3 linked regions of the Bombyx mori genome follow. The protein of the gene in region 3 interacts with the protein of the main gene of each other region in a pairwise test. Links are inferred from orthologs where the notes say so. Each region holds a gene or a part of one and is shown on either strand. Other genes may lie near its edges. The genes, in order: translocon-associated protein subunit delta, metaxin-1 and small glutamine-rich tetratricopeptide repeat-containing protein alpha.

The links.
Region 1: the proteins of small glutamine-rich tetratricopeptide repeat-containing protein alpha (region 3) and translocon-associated protein subunit delta interact in a two-hybrid assay, tested with the Caenorhabditis elegans proteins (2 studies listed by BioGRID). The link is inferred for Bombyx mori from reciprocal best matches to the Caenorhabditis elegans genes sgt-1 and trap-4.
Region 2: the proteins of small glutamine-rich tetratricopeptide repeat-containing protein alpha (region 3) and metaxin-1 interact in a two-hybrid assay, tested with the Caenorhabditis elegans proteins (2 studies listed by BioGRID). The link is inferred for Bombyx mori from reciprocal best matches to the Caenorhabditis elegans genes sgt-1 and mtx-1.

Annotation. Positions count from the first base shown.
Region 1 is NC_085130.1:17,557,516-17,566,384, reverse strand, and holds translocon-associated protein subunit delta, read left to right. Parts: upstream 1-2,523; 5' UTR 2,524-2,887; coding exon 2,888-3,139; intron 3,140-4,359; coding exon 4,360-4,516; intron 4,517-6,448; coding exon 6,449-6,549; 3' UTR 6,550-6,610; downstream 6,611-8,869.
Region 2 is NC_085127.1:1,794,283-1,803,048, reverse strand, and holds the start of metaxin-1, read right to left. Parts: upstream 4,897-8,766; 5' UTR 4,792-4,896; coding exon 4,714-4,791; intron 4,633-4,713; coding exon 4,486-4,632; intron 4,366-4,485; coding exon 4,096-4,365; intron 3,804-4,095; coding exon 3,569-3,803; intron 2,924-3,568; coding exon 2,769-2,923; intron 2,136-2,768; coding exon 2,067-2,135; 3' UTR 1-2,066. Other genes in the region: endoplasmic reticulum protein, read left to right, coding at 7,446-8,078.
Region 3 is NC_085113.1:138,298-146,741, forward strand, and holds small glutamine-rich tetratricopeptide repeat-containing protein alpha, read left to right. Parts: upstream 1-4,381; 5' UTR 4,382-5,141; coding exon 5,142-5,999; 3' UTR 6,000-6,394; downstream 6,395-8,444. Other genes in the region: actin-related protein 10, read left to right, coding at 633-741, 1,720-1,863, 2,598-2,809, 3,039-3,404.

The sequences.
Region 1 (8,869 bases), on a different chromosome or scaffold from region 3:
ATGTAGCGATGCACTAGTGTTCGAATCCCGCAGGCGGGTACCAATTTTCTAATGAAATACGTACTGAACAAATTTTCATTATTGACTTCCACAGTGAAGGAATAACATCGTGTAATAAAAATCGAACTCGCAAAATTATAATTTGCATAATTACTGGTGGTAGGACCTCTTGTGAGTCCGCACGGGTACTAGGCTGCACTAAAAGTATCGGGAATGGAATATTTCCATTGTTTCTGTCATATTAAAATCTTTTTAATTGAAAACTCCTTGGTTTTAAAAATCGAATACCATTTATTTATTTTAAAAAAGATTCTCGGTCTTGTCACGAGGTTTTGTCAAACTGCAACCGCCGCATCATCCTGCATCACGACAATGCGAGTTCTCACACCGCGCACAGAACAAAAGAGTTTTTAGAGTAAGAAAACATAGAATTATTAGACCATCCGCCGTACAGCCCCGACCTAAGCCCTAATGATTTCTATACTTTCCCTAAAATAAAGAATAAATTGCGTGGACAGAGATTTTCATCACCTGAAGAAGCTGTGGACGCCTACAAAACGGTAATTTTGGAGACCCCAACTTCTGAATGGAATAGTTGCTTCAATGATTGGTTCCATCGTATGGAAAAATGTGTCAAATTTCGCGGAGAATACTTCGAAAAGCAATAAATACATTTTTAAATAGTAATGTTGTGTCACTTCGTTAATTCTCGAAATTTTCAGTGCCGCCCTCGTAGGTACCACCACTCTGCCTGGATTCGTGAAAGATGAACACTTATAATCCATAAATACAGGTTACTGAGTTTCTCGCCGGATCCTCTCAGATCATTTTAGCGGTAAGCAGCGGTTTGGCTCCGCCCCTGGCATTGCAGACGTACATGAGCGACGGTAACCACTAACCACCAGGTGGGCCGTATGCTCGTCTGCGTGCTAAGGTAATAAAAAAAAATGTGTGCGTGTACTAGTGTACACACGTAAGAAGTGAAACTTATTTTTCGAAAAATGATCTACATGCAACTTTCTAGAAATTGGTTAAATAAAGTTAAATTAGATAAAGTTTAAACAAAAGGATTTTATTATCATAGACATGAATACAAAAAAGATGGCGCGTAACGGAAAAATGTGACGCGTAACCGAAAAATGTGACGGTAAATTTTTTCCAACGCCGATAAAGAAGTTTCACTTCAAAAATAAAAAGTTGGTCGCGATTTCCATTCCTATGATAGATTCTGGAAAGCACTGCTCTTGCTAAGGCCAATCTCAAATGGTCCTGTAATCATCAGGATCTGATTGATGATGGGATCCTGGGAATATCGAGAAAAATCTACAATTTTCAAAGCCTATCTTGAAGTGATTTGTGTGTTTCTTGTTATTGTTACGCGCTGGGGTTCGGGATAAATAATATTTCACCAAAGTACAATGGGATACATAGTATTTCACCAAAAACTCTCAATTCGCTTATTCCGCTTCGCTTCAGGTGATCCGTTCGCTGTTTCGCTTCTAAATAGTTCCGATTACTGACTGACTGCGTGCCATCTCTACAACGCTTTTATAGCCGATATGACATCCCTAGAATTATCGAGAATATTCTACAAATATCTAGTAGTAGATTCCGCTATCTGCCAATAGATGGCGTTGCACTTCTCGAGCGTTCTGGGCGCTACTAGATCCTTCGATATTCGTTCGACTATTCGGCAATACATGGCGTTACTCTTACCGGCGTAACAATATTCTTCTTATCATTATATGCTATATCATTATTACGCGCTTGATCATTATTTTGCTGAGATGTTATTTTATGGTTGCGATATCTTCTAAGATACTCATTAAAATCAAATGATAGACAGGGAAAAGTTCTTTAAAGTTAAATATCTGTAATACATATTTATTTGGATAAGGACTAATATGATTTTTATGAAAACACCTTCACAAATAATGCTTTTTTTTAGAACAAATTTGGTTAGCATAAAAAAGGTTCTAGTGAGCCTATCTTAAAATATAGGCATAGAACTTTTAAAGGGACATTATTCTGTCATATATTATTTAAGCGAAATTTTAACCGTATCCGCAGCGCGCGCAGTGGAAGCTCTCAAAAGGCAAAAAAACGACCTTGAAACATTATTAGTACTTCACTCGTATTGGTCTTAGCGTGATGTTATATAGCCAGCCTATAGTCTTCCTCAATAAATGAGCTATCTAAGACTGAAAAAATCAAATCGGACCAGTAGTTCCTGAGATTAGTGCGTTCAACCAAACAAACAAACTCTTCAGCTTTATAATAGTATAGATTTTTTATTTTAAATATTTTTAAACTTCAACACAGGCAACAATGGTATCGCAAGAAGACGATTACTATACTGAAAAAAAGTTAATTACACATGACAAATTAATATTATTAAAAAATTTACAAATACGTTAGAATTCTGAAAGATTTAAGAATTATTTTATGGTTTTTCAAAATTCACAAATACTTTTAAATTTGAATGCATTGTTATTAAAATATATTATACTGATCGCGATCTTTAAATGTAAATTGGCCACACGTAACCGCTGACGTTTCGGAGTTGCGTTCTAAAGACAACTTTTAACACTTTCTAAAATTTAGATAGTGTGAATAAATTACTTTAAAACATCAGTTATGCTTTTACGTACATGAAATAGTTTAAAATCAATACTGTGATTGGGAAGATTACAAAAACAAAATATTTATGAAGTAAAATAAAATTTAGAAATTCAAAAATTGATGTGAAATATTTGATTGCTTGATGTTTATGAAGACATTGAAGAGACGTTTTCGAACACAACATACGTGGACGGCTGTAAAGGAGTGAGAATTGTAGTCTCAAATTTTTAAAATTAGATTTACCTTTAAGGTCACAAATAACAAAATGGTCACAAAAAGTTTTATTTATATTATCACAATCGCTCTTATCGGCAGTATTTGCGCCGAATCCTGTCAGAACCCTAAAGTTGAAGCTTCATATTTCACTAGTTTAGATGCCACGGTAGTCACACAAATAGCCTATATAACCGAATTTACGCTTAAATGTGACAATACTCTGCCCGAGAACTACGGTTTGTACGCTGAAGTCGATGGAAAATCACTAACGGCCGCCAGAATCGGTGAAAACAAATATCAGGTAAGTTAATCATATTTCCTAGGTCCACCTGAGACCGAGCCGCATTTAAAAGTTTAAAAAGGACACCTTTTCATTTCTTATAATGATATTCGATGTCTATGTTATATAAGGGTCTTATATTGCTTTATTTAGCTTTTGAAGATATAATAACTATCCTAGACACTACAGTAACACTTAATGGTCTCAACCAATCAACCCTTTTAAATCTGACAAAACAACAATGTTCCCATAATCAGAGATTGAACAAAATTCTAATTGAACTAAAATCCCTAAATCTTCAATTTAGCTTTAAAAAAAGAACTTTCCTGCATTCTATATATGCTAAGTTTTTTAAACCACAACAGATAATACAATTTCCACCTCGAACCATTTGTGAGACCTGATCTTGTTCCAATATAAATTTTTAATTAGTATTATTATTGAAATATAAAATGTTCACATGTATTATACTTTGACAGTACAATGACAGGAAAGATTTCCATGGAGTGCTATAAAAACTACCTGCAATATACTACTATATAATAAGTTTCGTCAAAATTATAAGAATCAATTAGAAAGCCAAAAACAAACTTCATTTTTTTTCTATAAAAGATATATTATGTGATGGTAGTAATTTTTAAAAGTCATGTACATTTTACAAATTATTTTTAAACTTTCAAGCCATTTCAATCATAAACATTCGGCATTATTTATAATGGTTCGAGCCACGCATGCTAATTGGTCGACACAGCTGATCAGACCATAAGCAATTGGTATTATTTATCACGGCTCTGGTACGTGTGGCAATTGGTCGACACAGCAGATCAGAGTATAAAACTCGACTGCAACTTAGGTGGCCTTGCCACCTGTCTTTTTTTTATTGCCTTTGTAGGCAGACGAGCATACGGCCCACCTGATGGTAAGTGGTCACCGTCGCTCATGGACGTTAGCAATGCCGGGGGTAGAGCCATGCCGCTGCCTACCATTAAGTATTAAGTACTCTCCGCAAGCCTCATTTGAAGAAGGACATGTCATAGCGCCTGGAAAACACAGTGGAGGGGAGTTCATTCCAAAGCCAGATGGTATCTGGCAAGAGAGGCTGTCTCTAGAGAAAGCTCTACATTTATATTTCAAGATGAACGTAATTTGCTTTCCTTGCTGTCAGCTCTTCCATCTGCATATTCAAATACTATTTGAGTCTAATTTAGCAATGGTGTTAAGTATTTAAATCCCTTTCATAGATTTCCTGGACCGAAGAACCAGCGAAGGCTCGCTCCGGAGTGCACCAGATAAACATTCTAGATGAAGAAGGCTGGGCTTCGCTGCGTCGTGCTCGACGTGCCGATCCTGCCGCCTCTGTTGCTCCACTACTCGCCATACAACTTAGTCATCCTGGCAGTAAGCTATTTTTAATACGCTTTGATTAGCTTCAGACGTATGTATGTTAGTATTACTGGTGGTAGGACCTCTTGTGAGTCCGCGCGGGTAGGTACCACCACCCCGCCTATTTCTGCCGTGAAGTAGTAATGCGCTTCGGTCTGAAGGATAGGGCAGCTATTGTAACTATGCTGAGATTTTAGAATTTATATCTCAAGGGTGGCGCATTTACGTTGTGGATGTCTATGGGCTCCAGTAACCACTTAACACCAGGTGGGCTGTGAGCTCGTACACCCATCTAAGCAATAAAAAAAAAAGAATCTTTGAACATGATTTTGACCCCCCTCAAAACGTCGGATTAACTCGAAATTTGGCATGCTTATTAAGGACCGATGACAATTCAATATTTAAAAAAAAAATGAAAAATTGGAATTCAACTAAAAAATGAAAAATAATTAGTAGTTTAAAAAAACTAACAAAATATGTACGCTTTTATAGAAAATCCAACTAAAAAATAGAAAATAAATTTTAATAAATTTGAATTTAAAATAGTGTTAGAAAAAATGATTTTATTGTAAAAAAAGCGTGGGGTGCATGGTATCAGTAGTTATAAATATTTAATGAAGAAATATGAGTAGAAGGGTTATTTTGTTAATATCGTGCAAAGGCACCCCACGCTTTTTTACAATAAAATATTTTTTTCGTACACTATTTTTAATTCAAATTTATTGAAATTTATTTTCTATTTTTGAATTGGATTTTCTATAAAAGCGTATTTTGATAGTTTTTTTAAACTATTATTTATTTTATTTACTGCTGGTAGGGCGTCCTTTGAGCCCACCCGGGTAGGTACCACCACCCTGCCTATTTCTGCCGCGAAGCAGTAATCCAGCTCCAATTTGAGTTACATTAAAGATATATTTGAGACTTGGATCTCATCTCTTCACATATTTAATGTCTAAAGGCTTCCGTAACCACTGGACACGCCACAAGCTTGTTTACCTATGTAAGGCATAAAATGAAAAAAAAAAGATGTAAAATCCCGATTGATTCACTGGAAAATAAATCTGCATTTTAATCAGTATAAGCAATGGTTTCAATGAAATGTGATTGATCACATTTGAATGTGGGTTTAACGGTCATGATAAATCAACCTAATTTTTTTTTTATTGCCGTTTTGGGAAGACGAGCTAACGTGATGGTAAGTGGTTACCGTCGCTCAAGGACGTCAACAGTGCCAGGAGTAGAGGCAACCCGCGGCCTCTCTCCGCGAGCTTCGTTTGAAGAAGGAGCATGTCCTTCTTATCATCTCATGTCATGTCATAGTGCTCGGGCGACACCGTGGAAGGGAGTTGAGGTTGAGTTGATTTAAAAGTAGTAAGGAGTACCACTGGTTCCTGCAGTCATAGCGCCACTGTTCTACCTATTACTGGTACAAAAATGTCATGGATCGACATATCGCCTTTTCGCATTAAAAGTGTACAATTTCCAAAAATATTCGAAATTGAGTTAATAATATATGTATGCGTAAACATTTCGCATCATCAGTATTTTTATCATAAATATTGTCAAAAGTGCTTAGTTTAGTTTTAGTTTTTTTTTTTTTTTAGTTTAACTATGTTTTACTATTAACAAAATTAATACATAATATAATCTTACTTGAAAAAACAGATAATGATAATAACTGGTAAAAAATATAAAATAAATGTTGCAAAGATGATTAATATTAAAAATATTACATGTTAAACCTTTAAAAGACTCTCCTGTAAAATTAGTATGTTTTGAGATTATACAGTTTTAAAATGAGAGAAGACGATATCTCCATCACACACAATCTCAAGATACAGGTAACATTGTCATTTTGATCTGTTTGTGAGTCTAGACGGGTTTTGAACTCCTCTCATGTAACGCAATAACAAAAAGACTAATAAGATAACTCAATTTTTTCTCCAGGCTACTCCGGGCCATGGGTGAACTCCGAGATACTGGCAACATTCATCTCAATCTTGGTCGCCTATACGGCACTTCGTAACAAGAGCAAGATATTAGCTTAAGCAATTATTGTTAAATTACTGTTAATTTTATATTAAAAAAATAATATAATATAACAATTTTTTTTTGTGTTTGTTTGAGAAAGCGTCTTAAGCATTGTACATTTTAAACAGTAAAACTACGCATTTTCTTAGAATTAATAGAAGTTCTTCCTTAAAATTATAGAAACTACATTTTTTTTCCTACCTAAGCTGATAGCCTTGAGAGGCTATATCAGCGTCGCCTTAACTAGTAGGGGAGCTCACGGGGCTCAAACCTGATGACGTTGCTAACACGAACCCTAGCAAGAGCAGTGCTTCGCAGAATCTACCACCGGATCGGAAACGCGACCCACTGAGAAGATCCGGCGAGAAACTCAGTGGGCTGTGTGTGAGGGAAACTAGAAGGAAGGAGTACCATCTTGAATAGGGGACAAGTTGAAAAAATATCCATCTGTAAACAGCAAATTATAGTTCGAAAACTCACCGAATTAGCGCTAGTGTAGCAAGTGGGAATAATACGAAAATAGCAGTTTTAAACAGTGCTAGCTTAAAGTGAAGTGTGATATCCCGACACTACTGTTAGTATCTCGTCACTGACTAGGGGCCGTAACTCCATTGCCGCCATAAAAATCCTTGGCCAGCCCATAGCTAGGGCTTCGAAGGCTAAGTACTTAGGCGTCACTCGATAAGGGATGACATTCGGGCCCCATATTGAGTCAGTGCGCGACCGAGCCGCGTTCTAACTCGGTCGACTCTACCCCATGATCTGCAAGCGAAGTACAATGTCTCTTCATAACAAGGTGACACTATAAAACTTGCATACGTTTCGTCATGACCTATGCAAGTGTAGTGTTCACTCACGCGGCCCGTACATTACGTACGTACGTAATTACTCTCCAGTGTGCTTAGTGCGAGTTTTCTAACGTTCTCGATAGCGTAAAAGTTAGCCCAATTTTATATACAGTTGGAACAGCACCCCTAGCGGCAAACATAGGTAAACGATACCATTCCATACAAATATGAGCTAACCTTTACGTTATCGAGAACGTTAGAAAACTCGCACTAAGCACACTGGTCATCCAATCCCGTTTCTGCAGGATAGCCTTCGGAGCACCGTGGTATGTGAGGAATGTAGATCTTCACGGTGACCTAAATTTAGTACCGATACGTAAAAATCTAAAGGAAGCGTCGGAACGCTACTTCGACAAAGCGGCGAGACACAAAGACCTTCTTATCGTGGCCGCCGCTAATTGCTTAGCCGCCTCACAAGCACGGGTCGCCGTCCGTGAGTTCGACGAGTGAATTAGCCCATAGACCCAACCCACTGAGTTCCTCGCTGGATCTTCTCAGTGGCTCGTGATTCCGATCCGGTGGTAGATTCTGCGAAGCACTGCTCTTGCCAGGGCTAGTGTTAGCAAATTCTCTCAGGTTGAGTCCGTGAGCTCACCTACCCGTCCGGGCGAAGCTGAGATAACCTCTTAGGCTACCGGCGAATAGGGAGGGAAAAAAATAAAAAGAAGTGTGATAGTTTAAGGCGCCGTTTTTAAAACCTTTCCACTTGCTACTGTGGCGCCACCTTCATTTACTCCCTGTCGACGGACACTTTCTGCACTTAAAGTTATAGTAAAATAAGGTAAGGTCAGAGAGAGAATATATTTTATTGCACACCAAAACACAATTAACATTTAAAAAAAAACAGTTTTTTTTTAAACCTAAGCTGGTAGCCTAGAGAGGCTATTCCAGCTTAACCGTAACTAGTAGGTGAGCTCACGGGGCTCAAACCTGACGACGATGCTAACACGAACCCTAGCAAGAGTCGTGCTTCGCAGAATCTGCCACCGGATCGGAAACGCGATCCACTGAGAAGATCCGGCGAGAAACTCAGTAGGCTGGTTAAACAATTGTAAAGCAGATACATTTGTACAATAGGCAGTTTTATCGTTAAAAGCGATCTCTTCCAGACAGCCGTTTAATTTACGTAAGGTTAAATAAAGTTTTTCTGATGTTTGTATCTCTTAGCGCACGCAGTAATACTACATTTTTGTTAAAGCATCTGTTATTTTAACTCTAATAATATCTTTTAATTCTTACTGATGATGAACTAGTCATTACTGTTTGTTAAAACTTTAAACGCTGGAAAAACAAATGTTTTTGGTTATGCTTCTAGAAATGGAGAATATGATGAAAACGCTCGTGCAAATCTTGGTTGCTCGTGAGCGTTTCAACCAAGGAACAGGCAGCATTAAAGACTGTAAATAAATAAAATAAATATTATTTATATTCGGCAGCGGCATTTTCTCAATATTATAGCGACAAATTATGATCGTCAACCAACAGATGT
Region 2 (8,766 bases), on a different chromosome or scaffold from region 3:
ATTATAACTTCGTAAACAATTCAAGTAATTGAACTAATGAAACATAAAATTTACAAACAGAATACCAATGAAATTTAAAACTATATTTTTTTAACATTTATTTTTAAAACTATAGTTCAATTATTTGAAGACGATGGATGTAACAGAAACATTTGAATGTTTAGATTGATAGAGATAGACATAACTATTACATTCTTTGTCTTTTATGTGCATACATATTTCTAGTACGTGTTGTGTTAATAGTAATTATTACGAGAGAAAAAAAAACGCGTGATTCAACCGTAAAAGTTTTTCATTAATTCAATTTTACTATACCTCGCCCATTGCGGCGTGACTGACTGTTTGTTTAGGGTATAATTGAAAAACATAAAAAAAAATTATGTGTGTATTTTGACGTATATTATAACTTCAAATAGCTGAGAGAAAAGTCTTCCACATATTGACTGTAATTAATTTAAAAAAAAATTAGCAGGCCCGTTGTCGCTGGTAACTGAATACGCAGCACGGAAGCGACTAAAATGACTTCGAATTTAGTTTTATATTTCTATTCTATAGGATATACTCTGTGTGGTTTTTATATATTATATGCCTTATTAGGTACAGTGTATACGAGGTAACACAAAAATTATGCGCGCGCATTGCCGTCCGAAAGGTACCATGTGTACTAATAAAATAAAGCCGTAGTTGAAAAAAATACTCGGTATATATTAGGAGAAATAAAAAATAAAACCATACATAAATTTTTAGAAAGAAATGGGAGTGCATTAATTATTTTACTATAAAGCTAGTACTCCCATGTAAATGTATTGCTCTACCATTTTAATTTGTGAATTTTAAACATTAATGGCATCTTTATTTATAATGAAACAAAAAATATCTATAGGGCTTCAAGAGAAATCACATAATGTTCTCCTGTTATGGTCGATATTTAAGGTATTTTGCATAAAATGGATTTGCCCATGCATGAGATTTATATACATATATTGTAAAGTAGTAGTACTGGCATGAAAGCACAGCCCGCAATGTAATATCGAATGCGCGAGGTTAGTGAACTCACACGACAAGGGTTCATCAACCTAAAAGGCTTATTACACTTGGCTAAATTTAGTCGACTGAATTCAGAAGCAAATTTAGAAGCAAGTTAGAAGTTTCTGATTACACTGTTCTTAATTCAGTTACTGAATCAATTGCCAGTTTAAACCCGACGAAATTGGACGTGTTGTGTGTGTAAGAGGATAGCCCCAGTATTGCCTAGACAACAAAAATTTGGTCTTGGTGTAGCCCTCGCTGTCGGCTCAATTAAATAAAAATAATAAACGGAAGAATATGGGTGAAGAAATATTTATTGCTGCACGGGAAGTTAGCAAATATGAACATTATGAGTGATTTAGAACCTGCAGACTACAGAAATTATCTAAGAATGGATTCGAGATCGTTTGACCTAATATTAAACCTTGTGACACCGTTTATTCAAAAGCAGTATACTATCCTACGAGATAGTATAAGTCCAAAAGAAAGACTGGTTCTAACATTAAGATTTCTTGTAACAGGAAATTCGTATCAAGGTGTAAAATTTAGTTCTTTAATATCCCAAACCCTGCTGACAAAAATTATCACTGAAACATGTCGAGCTATTTATAAATGTCTGGCACATTAAATGAAGGTAACTGAAATAAATACTTTTTATTCGGAAGTAAAAAACAAGCTAAAACGTCCTTACGCACGGAGAGCTATGGGACGACTGAAATCATTAAGTAACTAAATGCGATTACACCTTCCTAAATGCATTTCTATTTAGGCTTCTTAATGATTTAGTCAGTCAGAAACCATCCTTGCTACTGAATTTAGTATGCTAGCTTACTGAATGCTATTACACTTCACTGAATTCAGTAGACTAAATTTAGCCAAATGTAATAAGCCAAAAACATCAATCTTATGCATTGTCTAGACGGTTAAGTAATGTGAATTTATCCCTTCCTACATAAATTTAGGTACCCACAATACCTTTGGACAGCAGTGTATGTCATCAGCTGTGAGCTTGGTTAAGTTATAAACTTCAGTTACTATCAGTTGTCCTCTTCTTCATTCTCAAACATTTCATTGTAATCTCGCGAGTGCTCAAAGTCTTTCAGCTCCTAAACAGAATATGGATTGTTAAATTATTCTTCATTATGTAAAACAGTATAATTGGTGCAAGGACATTTGTGAGTCCACACGGGTAGGTACGACCACCTTGCTCATTTCTGCTGTAAAGCAGTAATGCGTTTCGGTCTGAAGGGTGGGGCAACCGTTGTACTATAAAAACTAGAGACCTTAGAGCTCATGTCTCAAGATTGGTAGCGGCATTTACGTTGTAGATATCTATAAGCTCCGATAACCGCTTAACATCAGGTGTGCCGTGAGCTCGTCCACCTATCTAATCAATAAAAAAATACTTTCAATAAAAGTTTAGTACCTAATAAAATTAATTTATTTTTATTTCAACATTTATTCAAGACCTTCTTATATTTACTAAGCTACGATATCCTGCACAGCGGCATGTTTAACCTTGCACCTTGGTAGCGACGCAAAAAGGGGCATAGTACACTTAGTTCTAATAATATTTTTCCCATTTTTTTTGTATGTAAGTGTATAAGCAAGCTTCTATCCTTTAGTTTGTATGTGCTGTAGTTGGTAAATCAGGGTACTTATTCTAAAGTGTACAATTGGTAATGGGAATGCTAATAGTTACAAATTAAATATTCATTATTAACAAAAAAATTACATACTTGAAACATTCCATTAGCCACTGCATACCCCGTCATAGCAATAGCAGCAAACAGGGCTGCTAAGATTTTATTTCGAGTCTGGTTGGGAAAGTTTGCGGCTTCTCTATCAGACTGCGAGCCTGTGGACTGTTTCTTTGCATTCTGTTTATTATATTCTGTAATTTGTATACTCATTATTGAGTTTGAAAGAAACAACATAAAAACAGAAAATTTTATTAAAAAAATACAAAAATTTTATTATTGCCAGGCACTGCTATTTTTGATAATGCAAATGATGTCTCTGTTTTTTCTCACAATCTTCTGCTTCTCTTCACATTCTCACAATTAGTATATAATAAAACCCCTACTATGTTTTATTATTTAATTAACTGAATTGTGTGCTTAAACACATGTGTTGAGTAACACATACTAATAATATATAGATATATTGTAACGATAGATATATTGTCCACCTTATGGTATAAGATTTGAGTCTCAATTGCGTTGTCTCATTTATAAGTTCCACATATAAATAAATATTGTTAACATAATGCCAAATAATGAGAAAGAAAACTTTCTAACAGCTTTTATTAAACCTATTTTCTTGTTCAAAATCCTCTTTATTCATAAATGTTGAGTAGACATATCCACAATTAGTGTGGTTCAGCCTAGAAAAGCACTACCTCATTGCTTACCCCAGGTATCATAAGAAAAGTCACTTCTTCAGTAGATGTTCAATAGAGATTGTACAGCAGCATTGACTGAGTGTTCGATGTGATATACATATTTTTAATAACCTTTATTTAATTTACATTACTTACCATCTGTGACGTGTCTAAAATTTTTCTGATTGATCCTGGCCACAAATCTTGCCAAATTTGCAGTGCCTTTGACATGGTTTGACAGAGTCCCATTAGGAAATGGTGCTTTCACTAAAGGAGCTAAGTAAGCAAACACAATAGCGTCAAACGATGAAGGACGGTTTCCAAAGAAGTATTCACTCTCACCTAATCTATCTGATAATGTTTTAAGGCACTTCTCAGCTTCACTGTATATCTGGAAAGTGTTTTATGCAGCTTGATTTGATTTGACAGCAGCAGCATTTTGGATAACCATTTTTTTTTTTTAATTAACAATACTCAAGATAAATTGATCAGGAAAATATGACAATCTCCAAGGATCAAAGCAAGGGTATTTATTTCAACATAACCTATATACAAATAATTTACCTTTTAGCATGATTGATTATTCTGACTAACAGTAACAATAGTGACATGAATGTCATATTACATAAAGTTGATTTAATTTAATAGTCTACAAAAAATATATATTTACAAGCTCAACTTACAGTTTTCTCTATTTCTCTAAGATCAGTATGTTCTCCATACAATGCGTCTATCATTTCTTTGGCGGCATTCTGATACCGTGATGGATAAAAAAAATTAAATGGAATTCTCAAACATTTTGCAAATGTTGGCCTAGTTACATCATTGTAATTCTTTTCATCCACCCACCAAGCATACTGGTAAGCTGGGTATAACTTGTCTCGGAGGTATTGTGTGAATGCACTCGCTTCCGCTGCCTCTTTGGAGTTTAAATGTACATCTGTGTTGTAATGCTGAACATAAAAAATATCAACTTTTTTTTCTTAACTTGGAGAAATCTAGTGGTAACGAGAGCTAAGGGAAATATTTTTAAGGGAAATGTATTAAATTTATAAATCAGTTTCGGTACGTACTAGAGATTTCAAATGTTCTACTACTTCTTCAAAATTTGTAAGAACGGTCCGTCCATCTCTCATGACAGGAAGTCGACCTTTGGGGGTGAAAAATGGGTTATTCGACTCTCTCACTTTAACAGGCACACCGATAAATTTCATGTAAGTCTGAAAATATGAAATAATGAGATATTTTACCATTATTCAACGCCGGTTTGATTCATTTCAAGGTTATGTTATGAAACTTACTAATACTTTTAAACATTCTAAATCGATAGATGCTAGACCCCATTCTCCTCTCCAAATGTCTAATTCAATGTTAGCCATATTCGTTTTAAAAAAAATTGTACATTAATATTTTCTAACAATTCAAATCCTAAACAAAATACCTTTGACACTTCATTTGACATTGATTCGTCCATTGGACAGGCAAAGAAAACTTAGCTCATAGGGTGAAATCTTTTGTAACAAAGGTTAACGCCGTTTCTATTGTACTTATATAAGGGAGCCGGTAATGTAATTGATTGCAAAAGAAATATAAAGCGATTATTTAAGTCTGACAAAATAGCTCTCAGGTCATCTCATTATATTTATTTTATTTATTAAATTCAACGTCATCCCAATTGATTAATATTTACAATAAATAAAATTCATAAAATCCATTCATTTTTCATAGGACAAAATATAACAAAAATGTAAACACTATTCACAAGTTGATTTTTAAATTGTTATTGCTATCGAATAATAAAATTTAATTATTTCCTAAGTCTCCCAAGTAGATCGTTAAAATAATCAGAAGATAAAATGTGGCGAATATTTAATCTAATTAACAATTATTTTTTTATCGTTGTGCCTTCAGCGCTCAAATTATAATTTGGCAGCATTTGTAATTCGGTAAAAATCATGGAGTTAATAAGTAGAATAGTAACTCTTTGGTAAAAATGCTTTCACACGATTTGTTGAATCTAGATCATCAGAGTTCTATCATAAAGGCATAAATGACCTTCCTATTAAATGGCAGCAATGTATAGATAGCAATGGTAGATATTTTGATCAAATAAATAGGTTAAATGAAAAAAAAAAACGAATTTCAATTTTGCAGTACAAAATATAAGTTATATCTTATTACTTGACACTGGCTAATGCACAAACCGAGCGAGCCACAATAAAAAAAATGTAGATGTAAGTACGGTAGGTACCGTAAAATGGGGCGATTAGGGATTGAGAGGCGAATCGGGAAAAAACCGGGAAAATCTTTCGACGCTCAATATTAGTTTTATATTCGTTGCAAAATCTTCAATTTTTTGTAGTTTAATAGTAGAATGTTGAAAGTTCACAAAACAACTCTGAATATGCATGATAATAGCTGCTAACTTATAAAAAATCGCGTTTCAAATTAACTTCCTGTGGTGGTCATTATTTTAGTGTTAGAAACTTTGCTCTCTTTTATTTATTTGATAATAATAGAAGACGAATGTGATTTATAAACGTTATTTAGTGTTTGAACCATCATATATTATTAAAGGTAAGTCTCAGTTGTTATTAGTTTTAATGTATTTGATAAAATAAAAATACATGTAAAAATCTGTTGTTTTTGGGGATATTGGGGACGTCTTAGGTACAAATAACAACGAAAAAGGGGTTAATTGGGATGAGAATACGTGAAATGGAAACGACCTAAGTATAAATAGGTACAGGTTTGTAGGGTTGTCTATATAGTTATAACAATATTTTTTAAATTTGTTGGTAAAAATCTGGTTTATTCATGATGTTTTTGTCTAGACCTTTTATTCAAAATTATCAATGTGTTATTTTATTGTTTGGTAAATATTTATATTATCAGTTACGTATTGTTTTCTATTTTTAGATAATGCCTCGCGTGTACGTATCAAAGAGTGCAAAGCCTCATAAGAGATATGTTCCCTTAATATTGAAAACAGCAATAGAAGCCTTTGAAATTGGGAATAAGTCTTTAGTTGAAATAGCTAAGCAATTTAATATAAGTAAGTCGATTTTGCACAGACATCTAACAAGAACAATGAAATCTCAAGGTGGACAAAAATGTCTAAGTAATACATAGTAAAATATTTAATATTTGTTCAGAGTGGGGGTATTCATCTGATTAATCCATGGAATAACCGACACACCTAATCTCTTAACCCAGATAAAAATATCAGCCCCTAAGTACTTACCAAGAACGAAGAAATATAAACCGTTTATAAGAAAGCTTACTCTCCTTTGGGACTACAATAATGTCCACGGTAGCATGGTCTCCGTCAATGTTCATTCGGAGTTGTCCGATTACGCTGAACTAATTTTAAGTGATGAATTTAGATGTTTTTTTTAATTGTATCACAACTTACAGAACAAATCTGTCGCGGATCATTTCCCAAGTAAATATAAATTAATCATTAGTAAATAAATGTAATCAAGTTGATGATCACTTTGTTGGTGCAATTAAATAAATAAATAAATTAAAACCAAGTAGTGGCAGCCCTAGCAAATTTCTCATTTCGTCCCAATTAACCGCAATTTTCGGGTAAATAGGGATTACACCTATTTTTGCTTTTTTTGCTTAAACTGGAATGCTAATTGCATAGTTTTAAATTGGACAACAAAGATGCCCTCAAGACTCAATCATTTCGATCCTGATATAGCATTATATACATCAACAACTACCTTAAAATTGGTCATAAAGTTGGAATTTGTCCCTAATCGCCCCATTTTACCGGTACTTGTAAGTTGTAAGGTTTTAGGTTTCATACCTACTTCAGTGTTTTTTTTTATCACAATCTGTTTAGTAAGCGTAATTTACCGATTTGATTACTCTATTTACCCGCAACCATACACATAATATTACTGCAACAGTGTTTGTTAATCGTTAATCATAGTTATTATAATAATCATACTGCGGTGCTATTGTGGTCAGTTTAACTGAACAAATAATAATTTAAGAAATCTCCAAAAACTAATAACTAAATATGTCCATACAGTGGACCTTCATTGCTGGGTATCTATATTTCGAAATTGCTTTAGTGATGCTGATGATATTACCTATATTCAGTCCTAGAAGATGGAATCAATTTTTCAAATCACGTCTGTTTTCAATGTTTCGAGAAAACGTAGCTGTATATTTCTATGTGTTCATCGGTGTGTTGGCGTTGTTTTTGATTGATGCAGTGAGAGAGATACGGAAATATTCAAATGTTACGGACGTGAGCCACACTCATTTAGCTACCGAAATGAAAACTCACGTCAAGCTATTTCGAGCCCAAAGAAACTTCTATATTATAGGCTTTGCAATTTTCCTGACATTCGTAATACGTAGACTAATCACAATGTTGATTATACAAGACGAATTAAAACAGAAAGCCGAAAAAATAATAAAACAGGCAGAGGAGACAGTGAAACAGGCTAAAACAAGTATCCTAGCGAACACTTTACAATCAGAGGAATTACAACATTATGATGAAATAAATAGTCAATTAGAGGAAACTAAAATCCTATTAAAGTTAGAAAAGGATAGAGTGAAATTACTAGAGGATGATGTCAAAATGTGGCAGCAGAAATGTGAGGAAGCCATTGCCAGTAAACCCGGCAAAGGAGATGAATAATTACGAATCAGCCTTACTTCTTGAGACATTTTAATAATTAATGAAAAATGTGGATAGCTACTAATTTTAATAATTATGTCAATATTCTTAGCTTACAGCTTCAAAACAACTGCATTCTTATAACAATACAATAACCATTTTATTATTTTTCGGCTTGAAAATAAATTCTGTCTAAATGACACATGGCATATACCCTAAACTTTTCTTAGTTTTTCAAGCTTGACTAACCTTATAATACAAAATGGTGAGTATATTATGGTCACAATGTGCATAACTTGTGTAAGATTCAATATTGCAACCAAACATGGTAGATGGTAAGATTCTTTTTTTTTAATAGTGAGGGATGGTCTTGCATGCTTCTTTAATTAAAATGTGATCATGATGCTCAAATGAAACATGATGAAAAAAGTTTTACATTAATTCAAGGTCCTTTGAAAGTTACAGTTTTAGATATAAGTTTTTTTTGGTGTGGTATTGGTTAACCATTCATGAACTCTGATCTCTAATTTATCAATTTAATCTCATTATTCATCTAACATTATTTTATCCTTAAGGATTTATTTGTGCTAGTCTACAATATGAGATTAATGGCAATGATTTCAGCTTTTTTTATGTTTAAAATTAATTGATTATAATTAAATGTAGAAAATGCTAGTTCTATATTTAAATCCCTTGTTTATTATAATGA
Region 3 (8,444 bases):
CCAAATTTTCAGGTTGTTAGAGACAATTTAAAATAAAACTGACAATTTCCAAATTTCAAACTGTTAATATAATATTTGGGCTCTTTAATAAACTTGATACTGGTATGAGACAAAGGAGAAAACTGTAATGAACTTAAATGAACAACTAAAGTAATTAATGTCTAACTTGAGTATATTTGAAAAGTAACATTCGTTTTTAATCACCTACTCATACAGGGTCTTGTTTGAACACAGATAATCTGTGTGTTTGAACCTACTTGGGATGATAAGGTAGAGTTACTGTCATGTAACTTGCTCTTGAGAGTTTTCCCTGCATTAGTAAAAAAATAAATTCATTTGTAAAGTGGAATAAATCATAACAAGAAAACTATTACAAAATATTACACAGAAGAACAATTTTTTGAACGTAATAAAATATCTTTGGTATCTGAGCTAAATGACATGACAACGATCTTGCCCGTTTTGGGACAAATTTAAAGTGTTAAGTCCATTGGACTAATGAGATTTATAATTTTAAGACAGGCCATAGTGTATTTGATTTAACTATTTCCGAATTAAACATTTCATGGCCTTCACCATATGAACCACCATGTCCCATCATAGAGACAGATACACAGGCGGAGAGTTCTCAGGTGTCTGGCGCGGTGTGGGCGGACAGTCCGCGGATGTGCGCGATGACGCTGGGCGCGCCTGTCACGCTGGTGGTGTCTCTGGGCGCCCGGGAGGCCGAGGTGGCCGCCGGTAACCGTACTTCTAACTACAAATTCATTACACAATTAGAATATCGAACATTTTATTGAAGTTATACTTCTTTAGGCGCGTTATGAAAAATTGATGAGAGTGAAATTTTACGATGTGCGCGCACCGTGACACAAAATTAACAGAAATGAAGTTGCCCACTAAATCGCTCATTACAATACGACCGACGTAACTTGGCGAGTCTGAATATAGCCGCAGGTGAACTTTCCGAACCGTACCGAGAATTGCCGAATTTATACGATGTCAAGTAAAGGGATGTCCAATATGCGTGTTTGAGGATGTTGTTTAATCGATTTTTTTTTTAAATTGATTAAAATTTAATTTAAAAGAAAAGAAATAAATTTAATTAAAATAAAGTATAACTTCTTACGCGCGTACATAAGTACACGCACCCTTTTTTATATACAAGCTTCTACACAGAGGCTAGGGACGGGGCTCCGGTCAGCAGTGTGGTGTACGTTAGCCAATATCGGTTTCCAGAATTTCAACTATTACGTTTCTGTATGCTACCGGTGAATTTCACTAAAACAGTTTCAGTTGTTTGGGCGTGACAATGTAACAGACAGACAGAGCTACTTTCATACTATTCATATTTGTCATAGAATTTCTAACATTTAACAGCATGAAAGGAAGTTTCAAAGATATGTAAATAATGTTTACTTTTCTGCAACATTCATGAAATAAAACCTATGCTCTGCTCCAAACCAACTCTTGTCTACTCGCATAGACAGCCGCAGAGCCTTTCAGTCGTGGCGGAGATGCACAAACAACAAACGTACCAACAAAAAAAATTATTGAAAATTGCTTTTATACTATGTTCTAAAAAATCCTTTGCGGAAAAAATACGAATGCTTTTTTTCGTTCTTAACCGAGTGACTAAACAGCGCAGCGCTGTAGGCCACTGGCCCCAGGCAATGTCGCACGACAGGTGAGGGCATGAGGACAGACGGCAACTTGCAGTGGTGCACTCGTGCGTGGTGCTGCGCGCCGTGCAGGCGCAGCCGCTGGGCGCCGCCGCCGTGCGCGCCGAGCTGCTGCACCTCCTGCGCCAGGACTGCGGCCCCGACCTGCACCTACCCGACCATGTGCTCGAGGACATCACAGGTACCGCGCGACGTCCGCCCATACAAGTCTCAATTTTTAATATATGTATTCATTTCTTAAAAGGTCCGTCATCTCAGCGAAATAAGAATATTAGTCATACAGCTGGTTATAAAAATGTTTATTTAACAAACCTAACATAAAATCGATGATTCGGGGTCAGGGGGGTGTACGCCGAGGTGTCTGCTGGTCGGCCGCTGCCTCGTGTCACGTGTCATTCTGATGTTAATGAAACCGAGCAGGCGGGGCAGGTGATGCGGACGATTATTTTTTTTGTTGCTTAAATGTGTGGACGAGCTCACAGCCCACCTGGTGTTAAGTGGTTACTGAAGCCCATAGACACCTACAACGTAAATGCGCCACACACCTTGAGATATAGTTCTAAGGTCTCAGTATAGTCACAACGGCTGCCCCACCCTTCAAACCGAAACGCATTACTGCTTCACGGCAGAAATAGGCGGGGCGGTGGTACCTACCCGTGCGGACTCACAAGAGGTCCTACCTCCAGTAATTACGCAAATTATAATTTTGCGGGTTTGATTTTTATTGCACGATGTTATTCCTTCACCGTGGAAGTCAATCGTGAACATTTGCTGAGTGCGTATTTCATTAGAAAAATTGGTACCCGCCAGTGGGATTCGAACACCGGTGCATCGCTCGATACGAATGCACCGGACGTCTTATCCTTTAGGCCATGACGACTTCAAAACGATGCCAGAGTTTGCTTCGTTTCGCAGTGAAGACGTGCTTCGTGAGCCCGCGGGCGCGCGCGCTGCGCTGGCAGTCGGACAGCCCGCCGGAGCCGGCGCGCAGCGTGCGCTACCCGCTGGCGCGGCTCGGCGCCGTGTGCGTGTCGGGGCGCGCGCGGGAGCTGGCCGCCGAGCCGCTGTTCCGGCGCGACAACGAGCTGGCCTCTCTCCCCGACATCGTGCTGCAGTGCATCATGCAGGTCAGCGCGCCACCACTGCGCTCAGAAGAGTGTTCCAACACCCTCTATGAGCTACATCAGCCCGATGACGGATCACGTTACATCTCATACGCATAATTAACTGTAGGCCCGTATCTGCGATCAAAAAAATGCTTAATTTCGTGAAAGTTAATGGTAAGATGGGAAAACTTCCCTGACGTTGCCACTGTCCTTGGACGGTGGTGTAACCGCTGTCGCGTGTGCCGCACAGTGTCCGATCGACGTGCGGCGCGCGCTGGCGGCCAACGTGCTGCTGACGGGCGGCGCGGCGTCGCTGCCAGGGCTGCGCGCTCGCCTGTCCCAGGAGTTGGCGCACCTGTGCACGCTGCCGCCGTACAGCTCGCGGCTGCGGCTGGGCGAGTTCAAGTTCCACCGAGCGCCGGCGCACGACATGAGCTGCGCGTGGCTGGGCGGCGCGCTGTGCGGCGCGGGCGAGGCGGGGGGCGGCGCGGGGGGCGGGCGGCTGCTGTCGCGCGACGTGTACTGTCGCGAGCGGCGCCTGCGGGACTGGGTCAACCTGCTGGACAACACGCCGCCGCACCACCCGCAGCGGGACCACCTCGACCTCACTCTGTAGAGACCGAGCGCGCCGCATTTATTTATTTTAATCGTAACATCAAATCGTTATATTGCGCAACCCGGGTCGTGTCAAATAAATACTTTACTAATAAAACATTTAAAAATATCCCGTATTTTTTCTTGCGACACTGACCTATATTTATTCTGCTATATGAAAAATTATATAGATCGAAATGGAATGAATTTGATTTATTTAAGATAGAAATAAATTGGAATAAAATTAAATGAAACATTGTGAAATAAAACGAAAAAGTCTTAGTAAAATGGTCTAAGTATATTCTTAAAATATGACTTAACTGTTTGGAGAATCTCGCGAAATAACATTCAGCGACTTTGTTGCATTTTCCTACACTTGTGCACTTGCTACTCACAGTTAATAAATGGTAAACACCTTTTTCAAACGAGGCTTCTGGAGAGTATTAAACGGTAGGCAGCGGCTTGGCTCTGCCCCTGGCATTGCTGACGTCTATGAGCGACGGTATCCACTCACCATCAGATGGGTCGTATGCTCGCTCGTCTGCCTATACGGCAATTAAAAAAATAACACTTAATAATATGCCACTATTATTATATACTGAAGAAGCAGTAAAAAAACACGTTCCCGCCAAAAGTCTTCAATCAACTTCTTCGTTGACTTAATAACTGTTACAGTATTATTATGTTAAATGTAATATTACAATGGAATTACAATAGAAATGGAAACATCGACTAATTAAAAAACTGTATTCATTTTAAAAAAAAAGGGTGCTTGTACTTATGTACGCGCGTAAGAAGTTATACTTTATATTTATTAAATTTATTTCTTTTCTTTTAATTTAAATTTTAATCAATTTGAAAAAAAATCGATTAAACAACATCCTCAAACACGCATATTGGACATCCCTTTTCTTGACATCGTATAAATTCGGCAATTCTCGGTACGGTTCGGAAAGTTCACCTGCGGCTATATTCAGACTCGCCAAGTTACGTCGGTCGTATTGTAATGAGCGATTTAGTAGGCAAGTTCATTTCTGTTAATTTTGTGTCACGGTGGGCGCGCATCGTAAAATTTCACTCTCATAAATTTTTCATAACGCGCCTAAAGAAGTATAACTTCAATAATTAATTTTGTGATAACTTTACTCCGGACCGTTTTTTAAATTCAATGGATATTACTTTCATTTTCTCCAGAACACCACGAAAACATATCTCTATTTACACAGCCGACAACAGTTAAGTGTATAATCTAGGGCCGACAACTAGGTATATGGCTCTAATAAAGAATTTTAAAAAAATCCAGTGACATCATTCTTCCGCATCTAAATCACGTAAGTCCAGTAATTTTCGTACCAAGGCTTTGGTTTATCCCTACCTCTCTCTTTCTTTGCATATGGCCATTCACTAGCACCTTTAGAACTTTAAGATTTCATTCCATAGACAATTAAGTTCGTAGCTGCATCGGCTTCTCGCCAGACTGGGTCTTTAGATACGCTATTTACACCCAAAATGCTGTTTCGATTTCCCTTAAAACATTTGGTTTTGGTCCATTTATAAAAAACAGACCAAAACCAGGCTGTTGATGATTAAGCAGGCAACGTCCAAACTGTCAAAGTCAATTTGACAACTGTGATATTTAGTTTCATAAATGTGTGACAAGTCTAAAATCTACCTTCTGTGTAAATTGGTAATCTAAAGTCTAAACGAAGCGTAGAAGCTCAGTATTTTGCGCAGTTAAAAGCAATTCTTAAAAATAGAAATGTCAAACGAAATCAAAATAGTTGCAGTGAGTATCGTGAACTTTCTAAAACAGCAATTGGACGGCGATTCTTTGAGCCCTGATTCTAGAGAGAGTGTCGAAGTCGGCGTGCAATGCATTGAGACCGCTTTCGAGCTGACGACGGAAGATGCGGCTCGAGGCCTGGACTTACTGCAGCTTGTCCGTCAGCGACTGGGGCCGCCCGCTAACAAGGCTGAAGCCGAACGACTCAAGAACGAAGGCAACGAGCTCATGAAAGCTGAGCGTTACAACGAAGCGCTTGAAAAGTACACGCGCGCCATAGAGATCGACCCAAGAAACGCAGTCTACTACTGCAATCGCGCGGCTGCGCATTTCAGGCTGTGCGACCCCGAGGCAGCGGTGAGCGACTGTACCACAGCACTCGCCCTACAGCCTGACTATAGCAAGGCGTACGGACGCCTTGGGCTCGCGCTCACCGCCCTCGAGAGACACTGCGAGGCGCGCGCTGCCTACGCCCGCGCCGCTCAACTCGACCCTGAGAACGAGTCCTACCGAGAAAACCTCCAACTCGCTGACCAAACCTTAGCACAGCGCCCTAACGATCTGAGTGGCTTACTCCGGAATCCTGCTTTGATCAACATGGCTACGGAGATGCTCACTAACCCTAATATGCAGAACCTCATTTCAGGGTTGATGACAACGACAGGGGGAGCTCAGGGTGTAGGAGAGGTGCCCCCAGGAGGTATTAATGCGTTGTTAGAAGTGGGACAATCATTGGCACAACAAATGCAAGCTGCTAATCCTGATTTGGTAGAGCAACTGCGACGTCAGCTTCGACCCCCAGGGTCTGGTGAAAATCAGCCACCTTCTCAGTGAGAATGATGTGTATTAGTATTGAGCCTGTGAGAGGGGACTGGGATCCTCAATTCTCATACTGGTCTGTACTTTTGTCTTCTCTCTCAATTCCAACTTCACATGATAAGAGTGAAATTCTACTTTATTTGTTAAAAATTGTTAAACGTTTCTCAAATCACACTACAACTCAGCCTAATACTGATGTAAAACATGCTGCTTCAAATAAATACTGTTCCTATATAAACATCCAGAAGAATATGATACTAAAATTATTTTGGTTCACCATACTTCACATAGAGAAACTTGTGCAAGTGTTTAATTATTAGGGAACAGTGTAATAAATTTTTGTTCCCGAGCTATCCTTAGCTTATGTTTGACTAATTGGTAATTTTAATAAATATATATTTAAATATAAAGGGAATTTTAATTTCGAGAACATTATAGTCAGTGAACATTAACAAAATAATATTTTTTATTATTTGGGCAATAAGTAAAAAAAAACATTAATCTTGATCGGGTTTGAAAATAGAATTCAAATTCAATATTTAATCATTTTGTACACTATTTTACCAGTTTATTTTTATTACATTATATTTGCAGATGAAATCAAAGCCTATTTGGTGTTGAGTGGTCCAGAACCCAAAGACAACACCAAGTTAATGCTACTGCTCATTTTAAGACAGGTGGAAATCTCTATTGTATTAATTTTTTTATGTGACTAGAATTCTTCAGCTCAGAACGAACTAATGGTGAGAGAAGAAACGGGAAGGATTTACTGACAGTATGGTCCACAGATCACCTTTGCAGTGAGATCTGTACATAGGGTTAAGGAATACGTAAGAATTACGATTAGCTAACAGATAGTACTATGTGGAAATGAGACGTTCGCCTCAGGAAATGTTACTTCAGTTAGTTAGCTTCATTTGAAAAAAAGGTTAGTGAACTGAAGTTTTTTTTTCGGTCAGCGTGTCGAACCTCCTACGAGGTATCCGCGACTAAGGGGCACGCGGGATATGTGGGACTTGACGGTCTGGCAGCAGACCGCGAGCCCAAGGATATTTTTAGGACCCTACCGCACCAAACGACTGCACTCACACCCGATGTCCGATCTCCGCCCGGGGTCAGAACCCGGACATAGTAGGGAGGTTCCCGCGGTCAACACTACAACCAGACACGCACACCAGGCACACCGAGGACGCCGCGCCGGTCTCCGCGGAGAGTAGATACTAGAGCTGCGTCAACTTAGACACCCTTTTTATAAGTCATACTTCGCCGACGCTATATAAATAAAAATCGCAACTTTCGTCGTTCCATCTATTATTATTATTTAAGTTTCCACATTAACTCCTCCCGTTACATTATTATTATTTAAGTTTCCACATTAACTCCTCCCGTTACGGGTGCCGGTTCCCCAATATCAAACAACTTTGACAAGAACTCTGGCCAGGTGTTAAACCTCGTCCTCGGGGTCTTTTAGCTAAGCGTATTAACCACTATACCAACCAATCTCGATTTTTTCTTATGGCGCTGAGACTTGATCTCTGAAATCTGTAGAGCGTAAACGGATTGTCACCTTTGAGATGTGGTGCTGGAGAAAGATTCTCCGTATTCCGTAGTCAGCATTTTGGACCAACGTATTAATTTTGCAAGAACTCGAAATCTCCTCGCGGCTGTCATCCGAGTGGCTTTGCAGAGTCCGACCAGTCCGATCAGATCCGTACCGTTCTTGATTCCACATTTCACAACGCTCCACACCGCCAGAGACAAGAATAGGTGGAGAAAGATCGTGCGTGCGAAGGTCATACAAGAGTGGTGGCTACCCTCAGCAGTGAAGAATACGACGCAAGGAGGAGGATCAACCAAGCAATCGACTCACTCAGTCATTCAGACGATCAGTTAAAATTTCCGGTTTGAAAGATAGGACTGTCACTTGATAAGTTCACTTCGACTATCTTAACATTAAAAATTATAATTACTTTCAGGGGATCATTTCCTTGTAGGGTTGACACTGCTAAAGGTTCAGTTAGGTACATATCATACAGGTAGATATCAGTATTAAACCTGTGAATTGAATATATAATTTAATTCTAGAAGACGAAAAAAACTCTTCAATGTGCTTTCTTATCTATTTATTACATGCTATGTATAATTTATTTTCATTATTAATTTACATATCATTATGTACACATAGTAGCAAAATGTAAAAACAACTCAAAGTAAAGCTCGTCTCGCGCCAAACGGATGCTGAGAATTGCTTACAGGCTGCAACACTAAGCTCATCTCGGCGGCTTTATATGAGAACGAGAATACAAAACAACTTTTACGTTATTCTCATAATAAGATATATTATTTACATATTATTATGTAGTGCAGTAGCGGGGCGCCTGTGCGACATGACAGCGCCGTTACAATTTGCTTTTTTATCATGTATAATATAAATTCTAAAACATTATGATATAAGGAATA